Arabidopsis thaliana: one gene and its partner. Each later gene encodes a partner of the first gene's protein in a complex. Each region holds a gene or a part of one and is shown on either strand. Other genes may lie near its edges.

Evidence for each region.
Region 2: NF-YA2 (region 1) and NF-YB3 share a complex: the UniProt entries of both Arabidopsis thaliana proteins name them as parts of the heat stress-inducible transcriptional complex.

Annotation. Positions count from the first base shown.
Region 1 is NC_003074.8:1,672,615-1,683,744, reverse strand, and holds NF-YA2 (nuclear factor Y, subunit A2), read left to right. Parts: upstream 1-4,776; 5' UTR 4,777-5,193; coding exon 5,194-5,239; intron 5,240-5,355; coding exon 5,356-5,625; intron 5,626-5,941; coding exon 5,942-6,036; intron 6,037-6,147; coding exon 6,148-6,366; intron 6,367-6,454; coding exon 6,455-6,823; 3' UTR 6,824-7,241; downstream 7,242-11,130. Other genes in the region: AT3G05700 (Drought-responsive family protein), read left to right, coding at 66-208, 496-573, 675-940, 1,205-1,313; AT3G05685 (Cystatin/monellin superfamily protein), read left to right, coding at 8,837-8,890, 9,246-9,422, 9,501-9,602, 9,756-9,965. UniProt on the Arabidopsis thaliana protein: Stimulates the transcription of various genes by recognizing and binding to a CCAAT motif in promoters.
Region 2 is NC_003075.7:8,342,605-8,351,826, forward strand, and holds NF-YB3 (nuclear factor Y, subunit B3), read left to right. Parts: upstream 1-1,744; 5' UTR 1,745-2,058; coding exon 2,059-2,544; 3' UTR 2,545-2,720; downstream 2,721-9,222. Other genes in the region: AT4G14520 (DNA-directed RNA polymerase II-like protein), read left to right, coding at 1-469; AT4G14530 (agamous-like MADS-box protein), read right to left, coding at 872-1,279; IAA14 (indole-3-acetic acid inducible 14), read right to left, coding at 5,975-6,092, 6,405-6,540, 6,678-6,907, 7,099-7,319. UniProt on the Arabidopsis thaliana protein: Component of the NF-Y/HAP transcription factor complex. The NF-Y complex stimulates the transcription of various genes by recognizing and binding to a CCAAT motif in promoters.

The DNA of each region.
Region 1 (11,130 bases):
ACTCTCTTTGTTTTCTTATAGCTTTGCTGTATAAATATTTGGTTGATGTGTTTTTGGGATTGCAGATACATTCTTAGGGTTTGAAGAGATAGATGGAGAAGAAGAGTTCAGGGAAGAGTTTGCTTGCCCTTTCTGTTCTGACTATTTTGATATTGTCTCTCTCTGCTGCCACATAGATGAAGATCATCCTATGGAAGCCAAAAATGGGGTAACTTTCTTATTTCTTTTTTAAAACAACCATTTGAAGCATAAAGATGCGTTTATACATTTCTGATTCATCACATGATTCTCAAAAGTTTAGACTGAGCGGTGTTGGTTCCTCCTCTGTTGTTACTTGGATGATATGACAAAGAAAACTGAGAATAATAGCATGTTTATAGCCGATTCACGAAGGAATAGTAGGATCAGCTGTATCTATTGCATCTGATATTTGGGGGATTTTGTTTGGATTCTATGAAAACTTAGCGTTTAATCTAGTGAACATTGTTATTGCAGGTATGTCCAGTTTGTGCGGTTAGGGTGGGTGTTGACATGGTTGCTCATATAACCCTTCAGCACGCTAATATTTTCAAGATATCCTTTTTTTCTTTCTCCCAAGTCATATATAACAATCAATCTTTTCTATCAGTGTTTCTATAGTCTGTTATTAAGTTGTGTTCTTGACAAAATATTACATGCACCGCAAGAGAAAACCAAGAAGAGGCGGGTCATATTCCACATTATCGATCTTAAGGAGAGAGTTTCCTGATGGAAACTTTCAGAGCCTCTTTGGAGGATCTTCGTGTATAGTATCGTCTTCCTCATCATCCAATGTAGCTGCTGACCCATTGTTATCGTCGTTCATTTCTCCTATTGCTGATGGGTTCTTCACCACGGAGTCATGCATATCTGCAGAAACGGGTCCTGTCAAGAAAACAACTATTCAGTGTTTACCCGAACAGTATGCTTACTTCTTCTCAATCATTTTACTTTGCCTAACCTCTTGTTAGTAAAAATCTGGTATTTCAAGACTGATTGAACCTAGATGATTCTAGGTTATTTTAAGTGTTTGGTCTATAACTTTCCATTGGAACATTTGCTTCAATGTTTTACTTTTGGGCACACTTGGGATTTATGAGCCAAACTGAAACTCTTTGATCAAGTTGAGTTCTTATACCCATATAGGACATGTATGGATCACTGATGAAGGTTTTGTGGATGATAGGAATGCGAAAAAAACTTCTCTTTCAGCTGAGGATCACAAGCAGAAGTTGAAACGCAGTGAGTTTGTTCGAGAGCTATTGAGCTCTACGATTCTTGATGACAGCTTATAATGGAGTATCGCTTCTGGTAACTTGTCAGCAATGAGGAAACTCCATGTTCTGTCTCAGCAGGACAAAGTACGAAATTATTGTTTGTGGGGAGCAAATAAAGGAGAGAGATTATGAATGAGTGTAACCTAAGAACACATTAGCTTCTGCGGTTAACGCCCCAATTGCTTGTAGGTCATGAGAAAAAAAACAAAAATGTATGTATTTCACGTATTCGCGTTCAATTATTCGTTTCCAGTTGTTTACTAGGATAAGAATGACCATATATGTTGAAAATTTGTCATGGAAACGGCTTCAGATTTTGTAGAGGCACATTCTTCTGCAATCAGATTTATAGCTTTATTATAGTTTCTGAAGCTCGTTAGTCGTTAAGCTGGGGTATCCCCAAACTAATCAACAACGAGACAAAATTACACCATTTACTGATTGTGATTATCGAAAAACTTAGACACTGAAAAGATATGGTAGGGGCTGCGCGAACGCAAACCCCCGCTGCCACAAATAATGACGTAGGCTCTTCCTCTAGGGAAGACCTTAAGCATAGCACCCTCCCGGTATGTGCAATGGGAGTCACTAGCCTAGGCCACTCGTCTTCTTGATCGCGAGTTGACCCCGTCCAGGTAAGTGATTTGCTCAAAGTCATGACTCTCTTATTTATACCCTGTTCCCGGAGCTTCTCTTGTTTCTTATTACCGATGTGGGACTTTTTGCTAAACTCCACATTTTCGCCGTTCTTAGGTTTTAGATTCTTTAATGGGCCGATCTCTTTGGTAGCCCAAAGTCAATTATTTAGTAAGATGTAGAATGGACCCATGTTCGGATCCAACTAAAATCGAATTATCAAGTTTTGCAATGTACAAAGTAAGATGTAGATTGTATTGGGCTTTAGGCTAAGATCTGAATAACCTAAAGAAACGAGTATGATAGATAAGTCAGTGAGTGTGATAAGCAATAATCTAAACACGTAAATGAGTTATTGAAGTTATCTAAATGCAGCCTTTTTTTGAAAGAAAAATAAAACTGTATAGTTCTTTCTTCTCAGCGGTTGTAATTTTTCGACCAAACTTGACACACTTGATGATTATGCTTTTTTGTGTGTTAAAAGAAATTTTATGTTTGCCAACGATCCAATCGAACATTGAGGAAAGGAAGTGACATAGCTAAAAGCAAATGTTCTTTAATTCCTTTACTGTCGTAAGCAAAGGTTCTTTAATTCCTTTAATACCATAAACGTACACACTCGACTTCCACTTGAGTGTCCTTAGTTCATGTATTCAAGTGGAATGCATATGTAGCTCTACTTCATTTTAATACTTTGTTATTTCGTGCATATTCAAAAGTTGGGTTGTCAATTTTCTTAAGAACATAGAAAAATATAGTTGGTGATTAGTCAGTAATCGTGTTTTTTGGAAGCTTATGAACAAGTGGAGCCAATGAGTGACTTACATATTAATCGCATAGGAGAATAAGATGAACAATATCTATAGCGACTGTTTTTTTATATATATTTTCAGAAGAAAAGCAAAATCTCTTTAAGAAAGCTAATGGGTTATTTTATATATCTTAGTGTTGTTAATCTTCTTTTATATAATAAGGTTGTAATTAGGTTTATGGTTAATTAGTGTCAAAACTAATTTCATCCCACAGAGCAGCTTTAGTATTGTTATCTATACGTGTCTAGAGGAGACGAATCAGACTGACAATTTTTATTCTTAGTAAATAATAATTATTCATCGTAGTTAAAATCTACAACTAATATGAAAACCATTTTACATGTAGAAATCTTTGAAAAAGACTAAAAAATGAGTAGATCGAATATGTATATTATATATACCAATATACAGTAGTAAACCAATTTTGAAAGTTCTTCATCTGTAGAAATATTTTGATTGTGGAATGTAGCTCAACATCAATCAATTACAAAACAATAGATCTACCCATCGTACGTTGACTATCATCTTGCATCCTCATCTACCTTTGGTGGCAGGTTGACCTTTTAATGTTGATATATAACATGCTTTGATATCTCTTTAATGCTTTAGACCAAAACATACTTTTTATTTATTGATAAAGTGTTTAGCAAAACGTACATTCATGAAAAGTACTATATCGATCGATGACTACAAATTCATATCTTCACCATAAAACATTTCTAGTTTTGCTTTGAGTCTTATGATTCGCATTTTGCAGTCTAGCTATATTCCCTACATTATTTGAAAATAAGCTATTTAATTATGTTGTTCTTTTGCCAACTACATTAAAATCGTTGATCACAAATCCATAAAAAGATTGTGCTTTAGATATATATTTACGATAAAGCAATAAACTAAGACTAGAACTGAGCTTTCTATATGTCAGTGAAAGTAGATATTTTTGTTAGAAGATAGTGTACGTACTACTGTACTATAGTGCATAATTCAATTAATTATTGTGTTTCGGATGAAAGAAAAGCTGCTAGTGGGATATGCTTAAGCACCAGTGCACGACGTATAAACAAAAGCAAGCACTAACGTAAACCCTTTTTTTTTCTTTGTCAAGCCCGTAAACCAATATTCTATTTTTCAATTTAACCTTATTTTATTTCTCTTAGATTTAATTCAGTTAAGTTCAATTCAACATCTAATATAAACCAAATTCTTAAATTAGGTAAAGGAAGCTAATCCATAATAATCAAGTCCAACACTAAAAGCAAAAGCAATCTCTTACAAATATATAACATGTATTATAATGTCTCCGGAATGATATCTATAGAGCTTAACTATTAGTTGTCTAATTTCAATCATAAACACGTGTACGGTCGGGTTCACAAAATAACTAGAACTATTTAAAGAAACATAACAAAAGAGGAAACAAAAGGACAAATGTGTGAAAAACATTTGAAAACCTAGTTAAGAATAACATCCTCAACAAGTGGAAATGCTATTGCGAAAATATGTTTGGTCTATTTACAGAATTATACAAAGGTTGATTCTGGCAGACTTTATATAATGTTTTGGTAGGGAATAAGTCACGAGCTTATAATAGCAAATATTGGCATGTCATTGTTGAAGATGTCAGATTGTTACTTTATTTTAGTTTTAATTATTTTATTATTTTTGAGTGGTGATCCTTTTTCCATATGACGTATATGCACATTTTTAATTTAAAAGCTTACAAGGACCACAATCATAATAATAAACGATGCAATTGACAAGCCAAGCACTACTCTTACCTAGTGGAAAAATATCAAAAATCAAAAATGAAATAAAAATGGATTTAAGTGGGATCATTGTAGCTTTTTAAAACAAAGCACGTCAAGCCAACGCTATAGTTAAAAACCAGACCAATTATTTTTAGTTGTTTTACATTTATATCTCCAACTCCAAATAAAGTAGAAAATTAAAAAAAAAAACAGAGCAGCATAAAAGTTGAAGGTGATTGGTTGATAAAGCTATAGTTGTCATCTACATTTGTAATTCATATATTAGTACGTCTCTCTCTTCTCTTTCTCTCTCTCCCTACTAAATACTAATGTGTGTGAATGAATCTCTGTTTCTTGTTTTGGAACCGAGATGGCTTCCTAACAATTGGGCTTTTCTCTGCCTCTTCCTAGGAATCTGAAGCTCTTCTCTACTCTCTACTCTATCACTCCATCTGTGTAAGTTTTACTCAACCTCTTTCTCTTTTTTTCTTTGCTTTATTCTTTTAGATTCACATAGGTTTTCGTGTGTTTGATTTTGACCAACATTTGGGATTTTATTTTACTTCTTTTTGGAGTTTGTTTGCTATTGGGGATCTCTAGTCTGTGAAAAAGATTTCAGTTCTTGCGTCTTATCTTCTCGTTTCACACAATCTTTTTTTCTTACTTTAGACAACAAGTCTGTCTCTTGATGATGATTCACATATGGGTTTTGTCATTCGTGTGGTTTTGCGTAATACCCAATCCCAAAGTTCTTTCCTTTCTTTCTTACAAGTTTTCTAAATTGGGTTTGAAATTTGACAAAGATTTCACATCCAACTCTTATTATTACTTTGTTGACTTTTTTTTTTTTGTTATCTTCCACAGGAACATATCTTTCTTATTCTTCTAGGCACTATCTATTTTTCACTTTTTGTAATTGGAATTTGGAGATGGCTATGCAAACTGTGAGAGAAGGTCTCTTCTCTGCTCCACAGACTTCTTGGTGGACTGCTTTTGGATCTCAGCCGTTGGCTCCGGAGAGTCTCGCCGGCGATTCTGACTCATTCGCCGGAGTTAAGGTCGGATCTGTCGGAGAGACAGGACAACGTGTGGATAAACAGAGCAACTCTGCAACGCACTTAGCTTTCTCACTTGGTAAACTCTTAACTTCTTTTGCCCTCAAATAGATGGTTCTAGTGAAAATTTCTGAATTTGTCAAAAGTGGCTTTTTTTGGAAAGTGCTAGTACATGTTTTACTAGTTATTTATAGGTATGACTGAGAGTGAACAGAACTGAGCTAAATTGTCCGAAAAGAGAATCTAAGATTCTACAAGATATAAAGATGTTTAAAAAGATATCTTTATGGTTCAAATTCTGGATTGTAAAAATGTTATTTGTTCTGTAGGTAATTGTGAATCTAAGAATGCGTTTGTGATCTGATTTGGAATAATTTTCACTATGTATGTATTAGGTGATGTAAAGAGTCCAAGACTTGTGCCAAAGCCTCATGGAGCTACTTTCTCAATGCAATCACCTTGCTTGGAACTTGGATTTTCTCAGCCACCGGTAAAAACTTTTCCGCATTGAAAAACATATAATGAATAAGCCTATCATGAGTTTCCTTTAATTTGTTTCTGAGTATTTAGTGTTTGTTGGCTGTTTACTTTGGTCATTTAGATCTATACAAAGTATCCCTATGGAGAACAACAATACTATGGAGTTGTTTCAGCCTATGGATCTCAGAGCAGGGTAATGCTTCCTCTAAACATGGAAACGGAAGATAGTACCATCTATGTGAACTCAAAGCAATACCATGGAATCATAAGGAGACGCCAATCCCGCGCAAAGGCTGCTGCTGTTCTTGATCAGAAGAAATTGAGTAGTAGATGCCGCAAGGTAACATATAGAAACTAGTTTGATACTTTTGTGCAAATGAGATTTTATTACTGAATTAGTGTGTTTGCTTTTGTTATGTATGTTGCAGCCATATATGCATCATTCGCGCCATCTCCATGCATTGCGGCGTCCTAGAGGATCCGGTGGGAGATTCTTGAACACTAAAAGTCAGAACTTGGAAAATAGCGGAACCAATGCAAAGAAAGGTGATGGAAGTATGCAGATTCAGTCTCAGCCTAAGCCTCAGCAAAGTAACTCTCAGAATTCTGAAGTTGTTCATCCGGAAAACGGGACCATGAACTTATCGAACGGATTAAATGTGTCGGGATCAGAAGTTACTAGCATGAACTACTTCCTAAGTTCTCCCGTTCATTCTCTTGGTGGCATGGTAATGCCTAGCAAGTGGATAGCAGCAGCAGCAGCAATGGATAATGGCTGCTGCAATTTCAAAACCTGATCCTTTACCGTTTCACAGTCAAACGGAGAGAGATAAAGAACTCTTGCCTTGGTATAAAGGATTTTCCTTTTTGCCAATCCGCTTTGGCTGTGAACAGGCAAATCATCTTTGGCTCATTCTCTATTAAGGTAACTTCGCCGTGAGGTGAAAAAAGCTTTGATATATTTATCTTCAGTGTAAAAGTAGTTAAAACTGGTGAAGAACAATGATGTGTTTGGTCACTAAACCCACTTGTTCCAACTAGTAGTGTGTGTTTTAAGAAAACTCTGTTATCTGATTTTGTAGCTCTCTCTGGCTTTGTGTGTTTCTCAAACAACTGTAACAACTTTTAAGTTATGTGGTTTATGTAACATATTTAAGACCTGTGTTTTTGTATATTTGGTCGAATTTATGTTATTATTTGCTTATTATCCAGGACTTATACAGCAAAGACAGAGTAAAAAAAATTCTGTTCCAAATCTAATGGTTGATCAATCTAGCTATCGATCCGAGATCGAAAAAAAATCGAGCAACGTTCAACCACTCAACTAAGACATTCCATTTGTCAACATGTGAAACGATATATTATATATATCCTAAACAACCATGGTTAGCTTTTAACCGCAGTTAATGTTACATGTATTAAACGTCTAAATTATAAATAGATGGCGGTTTTTTCCCAAGTAAATCTGTAGTGAAAAATAAATGCGGAAATGGCTACAAAAAACGTAAAATATTTAGAGTAAAAAAAAATAAAAACGTAAAATATTTAGCACTCTATAATATAATAAGATTATACTTGAAACTGCATTTACTTTTGTTTAAGAATAAATATTAAATAAATTTAACATTGGATTAGGTATATAATCTATTGTAGTGGCCAAAATCTATAATATCTTTAAGTTTTAGATAGCTATATGTGATATCCATGATATGATTAATAATATATTAGCAAATATGAAAGAAAATATTCATATTCTATTACTATGTTTTTACTGTAAAATGATCATGATTTTTTTTTGATATTTATAGCTTGGATAAATAATATAATATTATAAAATAATTCGCTTAGAGTATTAGTAATACTGTTTTATATATTTTTCGTAGGGTGAAAACAATTTTTCTGTAATATATATTTGTGAAGTTTTGTATTATTGTAGATGAAGAAGATATTGACACTCTATATACAGGATTATATGTTTTTGAATTTGTTTTTATATTATAGATGTAGTATTATGGTTATGATTGCGTTTTTAATTTTTGTGTTATATGTTTGTATAATACTAATGACAAAATCTGTATATAGTCTAGTAAAATTTGGGCAATTATTTAAATGGGTAAAAAGTCACTATGATAACGACACATCAGCATGACAATTTTGTTAATAACACTTGAGGATAAAGTTTATTTTATAGAATGATTATCAATTTATATAGGGGATATCAATCGATTCTGATAATTCATCTTGGTTGGACTTTGGTCAATTTTGGTTTTGTGTTGGTAGTATTGTCTGAAAATATTATGAAATTCCAGCTGGGTTGAATTATCAAATGAAAACAAAAATCTAAAACCGAGTGCTAGACTTATTGTTTTGTAAATAGTTGATTGGTGAATTTCGTATAAATACCAGTACTAAACTCATTGGTCCTTGTTCGACTAGTTCTTGTTGAACTGGTTGTTGACCTTGACTAGCAGCCCGATTCTTAGCCCGTTTTGATTCATTGGCCAGATTTGGTAGCTTGGGTTTTTGGTGTCTTCCACCTATCGGTCTTCGTGGTTCATCGTCATCATTCATTGTAAAATTCCTGAAATATAGAACATAAAAACTAATAAATCAAATTAAAACAATCCATATGACCTTAATTAATTAGTAATCAATATTGTGATTCCCGTAACTAATGTTTAGTAATCAAGTTAAGAGAATCTAGACCTGTACCATGACTTGATATACTCCTGTAACTAGAATATATGGTGAGAGAGACAGAAAATACATAAATAAGCATGTTAGATATATATATTGATTGTACTATCATTATGGCTAAAACTGATGAGTACCAAATTTGTACAGCTGCTAGAAACAAACTCGAAGTTCAAACTCATCATGAGAACTAAGGAATCAACACCCATATCTCCAATCTATGGAACACCGACCTAGACTGATGATGATCGTTAATTTTATATAGAGCAATTTTACGGTGTGATATTTGAACATTAGAAATATTGTGTAATTTTTTCACTTTTATTTTGCTATTCTTTGCTACTCGTATTTTAAAGTGAATAACGATTTGTTCAGCTAAAAATAAATAATTTTTGAATTTTTCTTGTATTTATATATATTTTATATTAAATTAAACTGAAAGGATCAAAATAAATAAATTTAGAGAGCAATTTTTATTTAATTTTATTTAATTTTGAGAGCAAATTAAGTTTCTCTCTCGGCGAGGAGTACGTTGACCCTAACGAGGAGCTAAAACATCCGACGTGGTTTAAAGTCCCTGAATGGGATGTGGACAGCTTCGAAGGTCTCGAGTACAATTCCTCTGAATATAAAAATGAATTCTCTAATGACGAAGATGAAAATCAATGGCGCCGCTTTAAGCGCCAGCTCATCGAGAATAAGGTAACCGTATTGAATTTGAACTTAATTTGTTAGCTGGATAAAGAGTAAATCTTGACTAGTGCGTGTGCCTGAATTTAGGGGTTTTATGTGGAGCGAGAGCTTTGGCCATGGTACAACTACTCGGATTACAAAGTAGTCCCTAATTTGGATTTGCCTGCCAGTTTCGGGCAAACCTACCGAGTACTTTGCAGAGATGGCTTGTCTCTGTCTCAAAAAGTACAACGAAGAGAAAAGAATCGAAAATGTCGGTATATTATTTTTGGCTAATTATCACTCAACTCTTTACAAGTGTATTTATCTAATAAATCTGGTTCGTTTTCTGATTGTTTCAAGGGTTTCGATGTGGAGTTTGTGGAAGTGGTGCGAGGTATATTTTCAGCAGGATCAAGGTCAAAGTCGTTCATCACATTCATGGCTAGGGAGAAACCTGATGGACCTCCTGTTGAGTATCAAGCTAAGGTTTGGTGTACGGTTGTTCGAAACCAGAACTATCCCATCCTCTGTAGACGGGCTCTCACAACAAAGCCTCCAAGCCAAAACTAGTAAAGGTATGGTTTTTGACCCAGACTTTCTTTTGCTGTTGATACTTTATATAGCCTGAATTGTTGTGCGTATTTGGATATATTAAGTTTTAGATTTAGAAAGATAGGCAGATTAATAACCATCTCAGCGAATTGTCTTGGCTCATCATTTCTGTCACTACAATTATCTAACTTGGAGGATAGCTGAAGTGCATTGTCTTATTACTATTTGTTTCCATGCTAGTGAGTATAGGGATTAAGGGTGAGAAGTATCTTCTGACTGTTTAGATCTATTTGAAACTGTAAACTGTCTGTGCATGACTTCAGAATAAGATATCTCTGTAGGTAGACAAGGAGATATTTTCCTCTTCTAAAGTGATTCTAGAAGGCCATTTTTATTAGAGTCTTAAGTTGCTGACTTGTTTTTATCACTGTTCTCTTTCGTCTGGGACTGGAAATTAGACTAGCAGCTGATCGAGAAGATGGAATTCGCTGGCTGATGCAGAGGCTGGAGTTCGCACCAGGTCATCTAATATGAAGTTGTTTGTATTCGACTTAGTCGTACTAAATCACTTCTATTGTGTTGTGCCAATATTTATGTTTTAGGTACTTATCTCTATGTTAGCTAAATAACTGGTCTAAGAGACTTCAAATTAAATGTTTGTGTTTTATAACTTTGGAAGCATGGCATGTGTCTCCTTTGATGCAGTATCCTCGCTTTTGGGATTTCTTTCTTTTATTATGTTTTCATATTATGTATGACACATGAGTAAAAATCAAACATATCCATCCATATACTAATATCAATTACAAGGATCTAACAAAATGTAAAATCATGGTAGATAGAAAACAATAACTTTAACATATTCAAGTGATCAATGTAGCAACCTTTCTTTCTTCGATCACGCTCTGTACGAAGTCAAGGGCGAATGGAACAATTTAATTGGCCACTCTGGCAATGATGTAGCAATTTCACTGCGTGGTGTTTGAACACTTGCAACATTGTGTTTACTCTCACTTTCATTTTGCTAATACATTTGCTCAGCTAAAAATAAATAATTTTTGAATTTTTCTTGCGTTATATATATTGTTATTTTTATGTTAAATTAAGATCAAAATAAATAAATTTAGAGAGCAATTTTTATTTAATTTAAAGATAAACACTTATGGTCGCACAAATATTTGTG
Region 2 (9,222 bases), on another chromosome or scaffold:
ATTCTATCTCGGCATCACCGCTCTAAAAAGCATCGGTAACAACAAGAACAACAACATCGACAACGAAAACAATCATCAAGCAAAAATCCTCACATTCCCGGTGTCCTTCACATGCCGCACATTCTTGCCTGCAAGAGGAGATATCTTGCAAGGGACTGTAAAAAAAGTGTTGTGGAACGGAGCTTTTATCAGGTCAGGACCACTCAGATACGCATACCTCTCACTCTTGAAAATGCCACATTATCATTATGTCCACTCACCATTGTCGGAGGACGAGAAACCGCATTTTCAGAAAGACGACCTCTCAAAGATTGCTGTTGGAGTTGTTGTGCGGTTTCAGGTGTTGGCTGTGCGGTTTAAAGAGAGACCACACAAGAGAAGAAACGACTATTATGTTCTTGCAACTTTGGAAGGCAATGGTTCATTTGGTCCCATCTCTCTTACAGGGTCAGATGAGCCATACATGTAACCCAAACAAGGCACCAAAAGTTAAAAGTCTTTAGATACTTTTTTGCTTTTAGGTTAACCTCAGATTCGTTGGGGTTGTTTCGTGTTAAACTGGATCGACAAGAAATATTTGTAAACAAAGTTGACAGAACCAATTACATTCTATTAATTTCAATTGGTCAATACCGACAGAGTTACATATTGATATAATACTAATACATACAAAAGCATATAAGAAAATTAGTTGCTGAGCTATCTTCAAACTGCATCAATGGTGTGGTAACTCATTGAAAAGGATCATCTTTCATCTAAACCTCTGTGAATCAGACCACAGATTTGGATTTTTCATCACCATCGAGACATCTTCCATCTTCGAATTCATCAAAAGACGAGTCTCAGCAGGCTCTGGATACTCTTGAGTGCTCTAGTAATCGCCATCGATCAAACCCTCGAAATCTATGAGTTGATCAAAATCTAGGAATTGATCAAGATCTATCTCTTGATCTTCCAAGTTTCCTGTAGGTTTGTCGTTACTCTCAAAAATCGCCAAGATCTGATCATCGAATACAACCATCTCCGTTTCTTCTTTGAGACGATCATCATCAGGAACGCCAAAAGTTGCAGAACTTAACTGAAGATTTAGGGTTTCGTGTGAAACAAGATTCTTAATCTTGATGTCGTTGTTAATCTTGACGTCCTCTTGATGATCTCTTCGATAATTATTCACAGATTCCAATTCCTTCAGATCTCTCAACATCGTAGACATCGACTCAATCGCTTTTCTCAACTCCTCCGAATCCTCCGATTTAGCAAGACTCTCGTCTTCCACCATAACTCTAACCCTAGATTCTCTTTACGAACAAGACCCTGATCCTTGAGGAAAGCGGAAACAACAGAATCAACAGAGGAATGGCCGAAGGAGTAGAAGGAGACGTGAGAGTTGGAAGAACAAGGAGTCGTCAAGATCGCAACCTGTGAATCGGAGGAGAGAAGACATAATAGCTCCGCGGCTTTACTGTAAAGACCGGTACGACGTTTGGAGAAACAAACGGCTCGTGACTCTTTCTTCTGAATCTTCTCAATCGAAATTCTTCTCTTTAGTCCTCCCATTCTGCTTTCTTTGATTTCACAGAGATTTTGAGGGACACTACCTCTCTCTCTTTATAGATAGTGTATGTAACAAGAAACCTAGAAACAATTGTATATATAAAAATGTCGGTGGTTTTATAGGAGGGATCTAGGCCCGTATCAGGCCCATTGCAAGAGGAAATTCAAAATTTTGTCTTCTTTTGGCCCAAATCAATTTAATAAAATCTGAATTAGGGGTTTTGTTTTTTGATTTCATGATATAAACGACAAAAACCAAAAGTACATATATAACCAGAACTCAAGAGTCTTTTATAATAAAGGCAAACCGAAAAAACAGAACCGGTTATCAAGTCTCTCTCTTCCTTTTCTATCCAAATAACATCCACTTGTAATAATCTTATCGACAAACAATCGACCTATAACTACCCACGTGTCATCACGATACGATTATTATCCTCTCTGATCCAACGGACCCAAAACATCTATCTCTCTTTCTCGACCTTTTGTCTCCTCGATCTAAAGATGGCGGATTCGGACAACGATTCAGGAGGACACAAAGACGGTGGAAATGCTTCGACACGTGAGCAAGATAGGTTTCTACCGATCGCTAACGTTAGCAGGATCATGAAGAAAGCACTTCCTGCGAACGCAAAAATCTCTAAGGATGCTAAAGAAACGGTTCAAGAGTGTGTATCGGAATTCATAAGTTTCATCACCGGTGAGGCTTCTGACAAGTGTCAGAGAGAGAAGAGGAAGACAATCAACGGTGACGATCTTCTTTGGGCGATGACTACGCTAGGGTTTGAGGACTACGTGGAGCCTCTCAAGGTTTATCTGCAAAAGTATAGGGAGGTGGAAGGAGAGAAGACTACTACGGCAGGGAGACAAGGCGATAAGGAAGGTGGAGGAGGAGGCGGTGGAGCTGGAAGTGGAAGTGGAGGAGCTCCGATGTACGGTGGTGGCATGGTGACTACGATGGGACATCAATTTTCCCATCATTTTTCTTAATTGTAAAATGATAAAAGCAAATTTTCATTTTTATTAATTAATGATATATATATATATATGTTTAACTTTTAGTATAATGTTTACAGAATTTTTTTTTTAAAACTAGGTTCAACCCACTAACGTAACAAAATAAATATTAAATTTATGATTCGTAAGGTTAGGGTGTTACTTTTTTCAAAAAAAAAGAATAAAAGAAGGTTAGGGTGTTTATTCGTGAAAGATGAAAGTAACAAAAGTAAACTAGGATATCGAAGTTTATGGTTGAATTAGGAGGAAAAATCAAATGAGAGAGACATACATTTTTTTTAGAGTAAAATGTTTCCTAAAAAATTGTAGTGGGAATATAATTATAGCATCAAGCTAAAAAGAGTCATTGAAAAACTTTTTCTACTTTGATGCAGGGAACATGAGATGTAATCAAGGGCATATCTAAAACGTAACCTTTGATCTTTGATCTTTGATCTTTTTTTTTTTTTTTTTTTTTTTTGAAATTCAGGAGGTTCTGGGCCGAAGCCCGTAATTCCTCCAGGCCCGAAACCACAGCATGTAATATTAGTTTTTCTTTTAAAGTGTTGTGATGCGAAAATTTCATATTTGAGTCCAGGTTTTTAAGAGCTTGGGTTTTCCATTAGTCCATGTTATGCCACAAATATTCAAAGATTTTTTCTTACAAGCAATACTCAAATATCAAAACTAAGTTTCTATCAAAAAACTAAACAAAACATCAGCCAGGTAAAATCAGGAAAAAATAAAGAATTATCAACAAATACCATGACTACAATAACCAAACTGCTTTCCATTATTGTTTTTGTCAAGCAAATTGTATTCAACATTGAATTTCAAAACAGAGAAGATCATACGGTGTAGAATTAAAAACAAGATTGAAACGATACATTATAAATAACGACAAAGGCTTGAAAATTTATCAGATAGGAAGTTCCGACGAACCTAAATGAAAGTCTCCATGACAGACTCCATATTGAAGACTAATTTCAAAAGATTAAAGAGAAACTCATGATAATAATAGCTCGTACAGCTAGTGCTTCTTCCATCGAAGTAGAGCTTTCAAGAAATCACTCCAAAAAGGAGTTGTATAGGAAGGATCTCTCCAAAACATTCCAAAGCAATACAATAGGAGAAGCTTTTACCCTTTTTGGGTCGTGAAGGACCATGCTTTGTGCTCTGTTCTCACAACATTGAGAACTTTGTAGTAGAGCGAAGCTGGAAAAGAGTTGTGGCGTTGTGGATGCATGTGGTACTCTTATGCCAAACCTCGTAAACACACGCATGACATGCTTGAAGCAGTGCAATGGAGATGTCATTGCTTGTAGAAGTTGTTGATGACAGGCGGATGGTGCTGGAATCATTCAATAGGTAGGGTTGTAGGCAACAACTTTACCATAATTTTGTTTCAGATTTGAGCTGAAAATGAATAATTTAAGTGCAAGTGGTGAATTCCTAGATTCTCCCTCAATGCCACATTAAAGCAAGTTTGTTCAACATGACATCTCAAAAAAAATCCTATCAATAGTAGGGTTGAGGTTAAAAATAAAGAGTTATAAACTGCGAAAGCATGTTTAGGAATTCTCACCTTATGCCATACCAAAACCAACTAAAGAACTAATGGTTTAGATATTCTGATGTTATGCCAAGCATTTAGGGAGGAGAATAATTCGGAATCATTTCATCAATTATCCAAACTATCATTCATTGTAGGAGTAACTAGAATTCTTCAGTTCATTAATGGGAAATTAATAATAATTTTTAATTTATTGTGTCAAATAACTAACTTTCTGTAAAATATTAAAAAAGAAGGAAAAATGAGAGATTTTCCAAACACTTCAAAAATCACTTTTGATTTAATAAAAAATTTTCTGTCTCTTAAAATAAAAGCTCTATGTTCTCTATAAAAAAGCTTTCTCCGCCGCTGCCTAAGATTACTTGTTTCAGTGGCTTTTTTCAGCATCGGAAGCGAGGTTTCTTTACTTTCTTTCTTTAGTTTTGATTTCTTTTTGTTTTGGTATGATCTGAATCATATTTTCTTCCAATGGTTTAAGATCTAAATTCTCATATCTAGATCAATAAAGTCTAAATCCTTTCATCTACGGGATTTGCTGCTTGTTTTTTACTCCTTCATCTACAGCTTTAGTTCTGGTCGTTCCAACCATGCCAGAGGTAGATCTATTCGATTCTTCAACGCCTTAGATGCATACTTCTCACCATTGAAGATCTCGATCTCCTTCCTTTCTTTATGAGATTTTTTTCCTTTGGGTCTTCGGGTGTTGGTTTGTCTCACCGCCGTTTACGGTAAGAAGAATATTGATTTTATTTTCTTTGAATGGATCTCTAATCTCAGATCTATATTTTGTTTTAATTTGGATTTAGAATTTGTATTAGATTTTTGAGTTCTTAAGTGATAAGTTTGGGAAGTTTTGGATCAGTTTTAATATGTTTTTTTTATTCTGGAATTTTTCCTTTTTGTATATGTATTTGTCTCTAGAAAATCCGTTTTCTCGCCGGCTTAACTTCTGAACTGGTTATTTTTCTTACCCGGCATATGTATTTTACCCCTTATGATATTTTTTATAAATGAAATCTTAATTTTTACTGAAAAAAAAGAAACAGAGAGATTTTCCAAAAAGGAAAGAAAATTTTTATGCTTCTAGTGGTGAAGGGCACATTAGCATGAAGAGGATGGACTGAATTTGAAAGACCCATGAATATGCACATGCTCTTGTTCCCTACGCCTCTCATGGGTCCTGAATTTAATAACGTATTCCCACGTAACTAGGAAAGAAAAAAGAAACTTAAAACCATGAATATTTGTTTTGTAGTTTTAAAATTGGTTTTGTAATGAAGATTTTAGTTCGTTTCAAAATCTTTTTGGAAACCATTTTAGTCAAAAAATATACCAACAGTTTTCTTAGTTTTCTTAAGAAATTGTTATGTGAAATGTTTTTAGATACATCAAAAATAGTTACAAATTTCAAATATAATCTGTAAAGCCAATAAATGAGAAAATAAAGAGGAAAAGAATAATAAAGTAGGAAAAGTGGAGATAAATTATTTAACGTAAATTTACCTATCATAAATTATATATAGTATTAGCATTTTAAATTTTAAATAGCAAAAATACGAACTCTATAGATTTACTATCACAATTACATATTAAAAAATGATTTCTACTAATTAAGAGATGAAAACAAAAACACAGACTAATTTCAAAAAAAAAAAAAAAGACATATTTAAAGTTATTTTTTTCGTAAACAATTATATTTTCCTATATACTTCCAATATTTTAAATTAAAAACACATGATCATAACAATACCAAAAAAAAAAAATCAATGCATATTGTCCTCTTTTTTTTTTGTTCATGATCTGTTCTTGAACTTCTCCATTGCTCTTGGAGCTGAAAAAAAAACACGAGCATTATTGGAAAAACAGAAAAGAGCCACTTATAGAAACGAACAGAAAAGAAAACTTACCAAGTCCAATTGCTTCGGATCCTTTCATTATGCGCAAACGTTTGCATGACTCGACAAACATCCTGAAATCGGGATTTGGGTTGGTGACTAAATTTAGAAATCTATTGAAAGTGAAAGAATATGTGCCAGCTACAAATGAGGTAACATATTGATGAGTTAGTATTTATATATAAACATCTTCTCTGTCTCTGAGTTCTGTCCCATGCCAACCAAAAGATGGCTGTGCGTGTTTATAACACATGGATATTGATTATCATTTTGTGTATTTTTTTGATAAGTAATATCAATAATAATGCTTTAGAGAATATTGTTTTTTTTGTTTAGAGAATAATTTTGGTCATAATAATGAAAGCAAGAAGAATGAGGAAACTCACGGCCAGGGGACATCACCAACGAGCATCCAGTCACCATCTTTGTCCTCGTAGCTTGGAACATACTCAGAACTGTTCAACAGATCCATCACTTTACTCTCGTTCATGAAATCTATCATCCCTTGTGCTCCATAACTCCCTTAATTAATCAAAATCCCAAAACTTATCATATTAATTAGTCGTATATGGAAAAAACTGTATCGTTAAAAAGAAAAAATTGTAAGTAAACACAAAAATAATAATGATAATTCGACTTATATGTCTGAAAATGCATACCCATGGTAAAGGAGCTGAACATTTTGGCCAAGGCATCAGAGAGATCCTTGTAGCTGGTGTACATCTTGAGGTCAACCTTCCGAAGATAAGGAGCTCCATCCATGGAAACCTTCACAAAGGCGACGGTTCCTCCACCACTACTCATTGCCTCCTCTGCTTCGCCGCTCTTCTGATTAGCCATAACATTTTTCCGGTAGTTCCTCACCGGTGGCCAACCCACCACTTGTGCTCTGCATAGAATATAACAACACACACACACATTCAATAACGTTATTACTTATGCATCCTTACATCTTTCATATATATGTATTTTAAGAACTTTTATATCAACTATTAGTCTTTTTATCTCAAAAAAAAAAAAAAAAAGTCTTCCCTTTTAAGGAAGGTCTTCTTCTTAAGGAATTGTGTAAATAGAACTTACTTAGCAGGAGGCTTAGAAGGGTCTTTAAGGAAGGTCTTCTCCTTGGGAGCTCCATTAGTGTTGAGATCCACATGTCCTTGTTTGTTAGATTGAAGATTAAGTTTGAGATCAACGGTCTCGGAGAAGCCTCTCTTGTTCCCAACACCCGACTTGGCCGGACTTTCAACGGTTTCAGTGCCTCCGGGGAGGCCAAGACAAAGCTCCGTCTCCTTAAGGTTCATATCTCTTCTTGCTGTCTATATATGTCTTAAATCAGAATATGTTTTCTCTCTCTCTCGATAACTCTTGTTGGGGGTGAAGTTTGATAAGAGGGGAACAAGAATGAGGTAAGGAGATAGAGTCGATAATATAAGGGACGAAGAAAGAGACTATAGTACTATACTATAGTGGTAGAAAAAAAACGGTTTAAACCCGTGATTAGTCGTCTGACTTTTCTAATTCTTTAACTATTAAAATACAAAGGTCTATTGTGTATCTGCTGTAGTGCATGGAATCCCTACATTTTCTTGCAATGTGGGTTCTCAACACGTGGCCTTCTGCTAAACGTTGGTAGGTTGTTTTAGTAAATCTCACTCTTTCATGTCAATAACCTGAAAAGTATAGGTGATGAGTGATGACCGTTGATTGTTGAATGATATTGTTACATCTCTTAGGTTTTGAAAATACGAACATACGTTTGCCCAAAATATGTTAAGTAAATAAAAATGAAAATATATTAAGATTCCGAGTAAATAAAAATGATATTATAAAAACATGAGTACCTCTTTCAACATGTCTAAGTAATGTCTTTATTGATCACTTCTATGATTAATGTACTTTTTTAATTGCCTACCAATTTGTTAGACGTTGCCTCCATTGGTCAACTCTTCACGTATCACATCACATGTATACAGAAATTGGGCGGTAAAAATTCCGTGAATCGTATTTGGTCAACATTATTATATGATTTAATCATATAATTATATTTCTTAAAACTTTCGAAGTCAGCATCGGTGAAAATAGTTATGACCAACTAAGTTTGATCCTAATTAAGACGTACAACAAATAATCAATGATAACAATCTTAGTATATATTTTACTTCAATTTGGACCATCTTCTCTCAACATTGTCCTGAAATTCCGGGAAATGATGGGGCAATTTTAGGAAAATGGGCTTGTTCAGTTGTCCATTAAATCATTATTAAAGAGCATAATCAAATTAAAATAAGCTTGTCTTCCGAACCTTCCAATCATGTGGTTCAAGTATAACCACACATGAACGTATAATTTGTTCGACGGAAAGTGCGGCTTTGTGACTATATTTATTAGCATGCTCAATTACATTTTCTTTGTTTAGACGTATTATAATCAAATTTCTTATCATTGATTTTAGTTAATCATTGGATATCAAAAATAATAAGAATATAATGAGCCGTTCAAAACTTAAATAAGCTAAAAGTGCACATGGATTTTACTTGCGATCTCTATATAAACTATACCACCCATTGTTTTGTGGTTATGGGATAATATCCTTTGGAAATCTTTGGAAATAAAATGACTATTATTTTAGATACAATAAAATATTCCAATGATACATAATCCTTTTAATTAATAACACCATAATGAATACTTTACTTAAAAAGTTAAAATATCCAGCAAAAGTTGATATTCAAATCTGATGAAAATATTAAAAGTTACAATCTAACTGAGTATTAGTAAATCAAGATCATGTAAATTTAATATTATCGACATATACAGTCATTTATATTTATTTTTATTAGTATTCAAATAATTATTATAAAACTATTTGGTTGATAATATATCGTTAAATTTGATCATATTACAAATAAACATTTCTTTTATGTCAATAACATTACTTACTGAGTGTTAATAGCTCAATTGTTAAAGACTATAAGACAAAACCTAGAAATCACCAGTTGTAATGACATTTGGAAAGAAACCATATAAAATGCTCTAGTTTGAGAGGACGTATGTTCCTAGGCCTAAACTTTTTAGTAATAAAAATAAAATAAAAAGCAACATCACTTATGCGGAAGCCTATCATATATAAACAACATTAATTAGCACAAACCATTAGTAAAACAGATGCACTACATTCATGATGGACTATTTTAGCATTAGCTT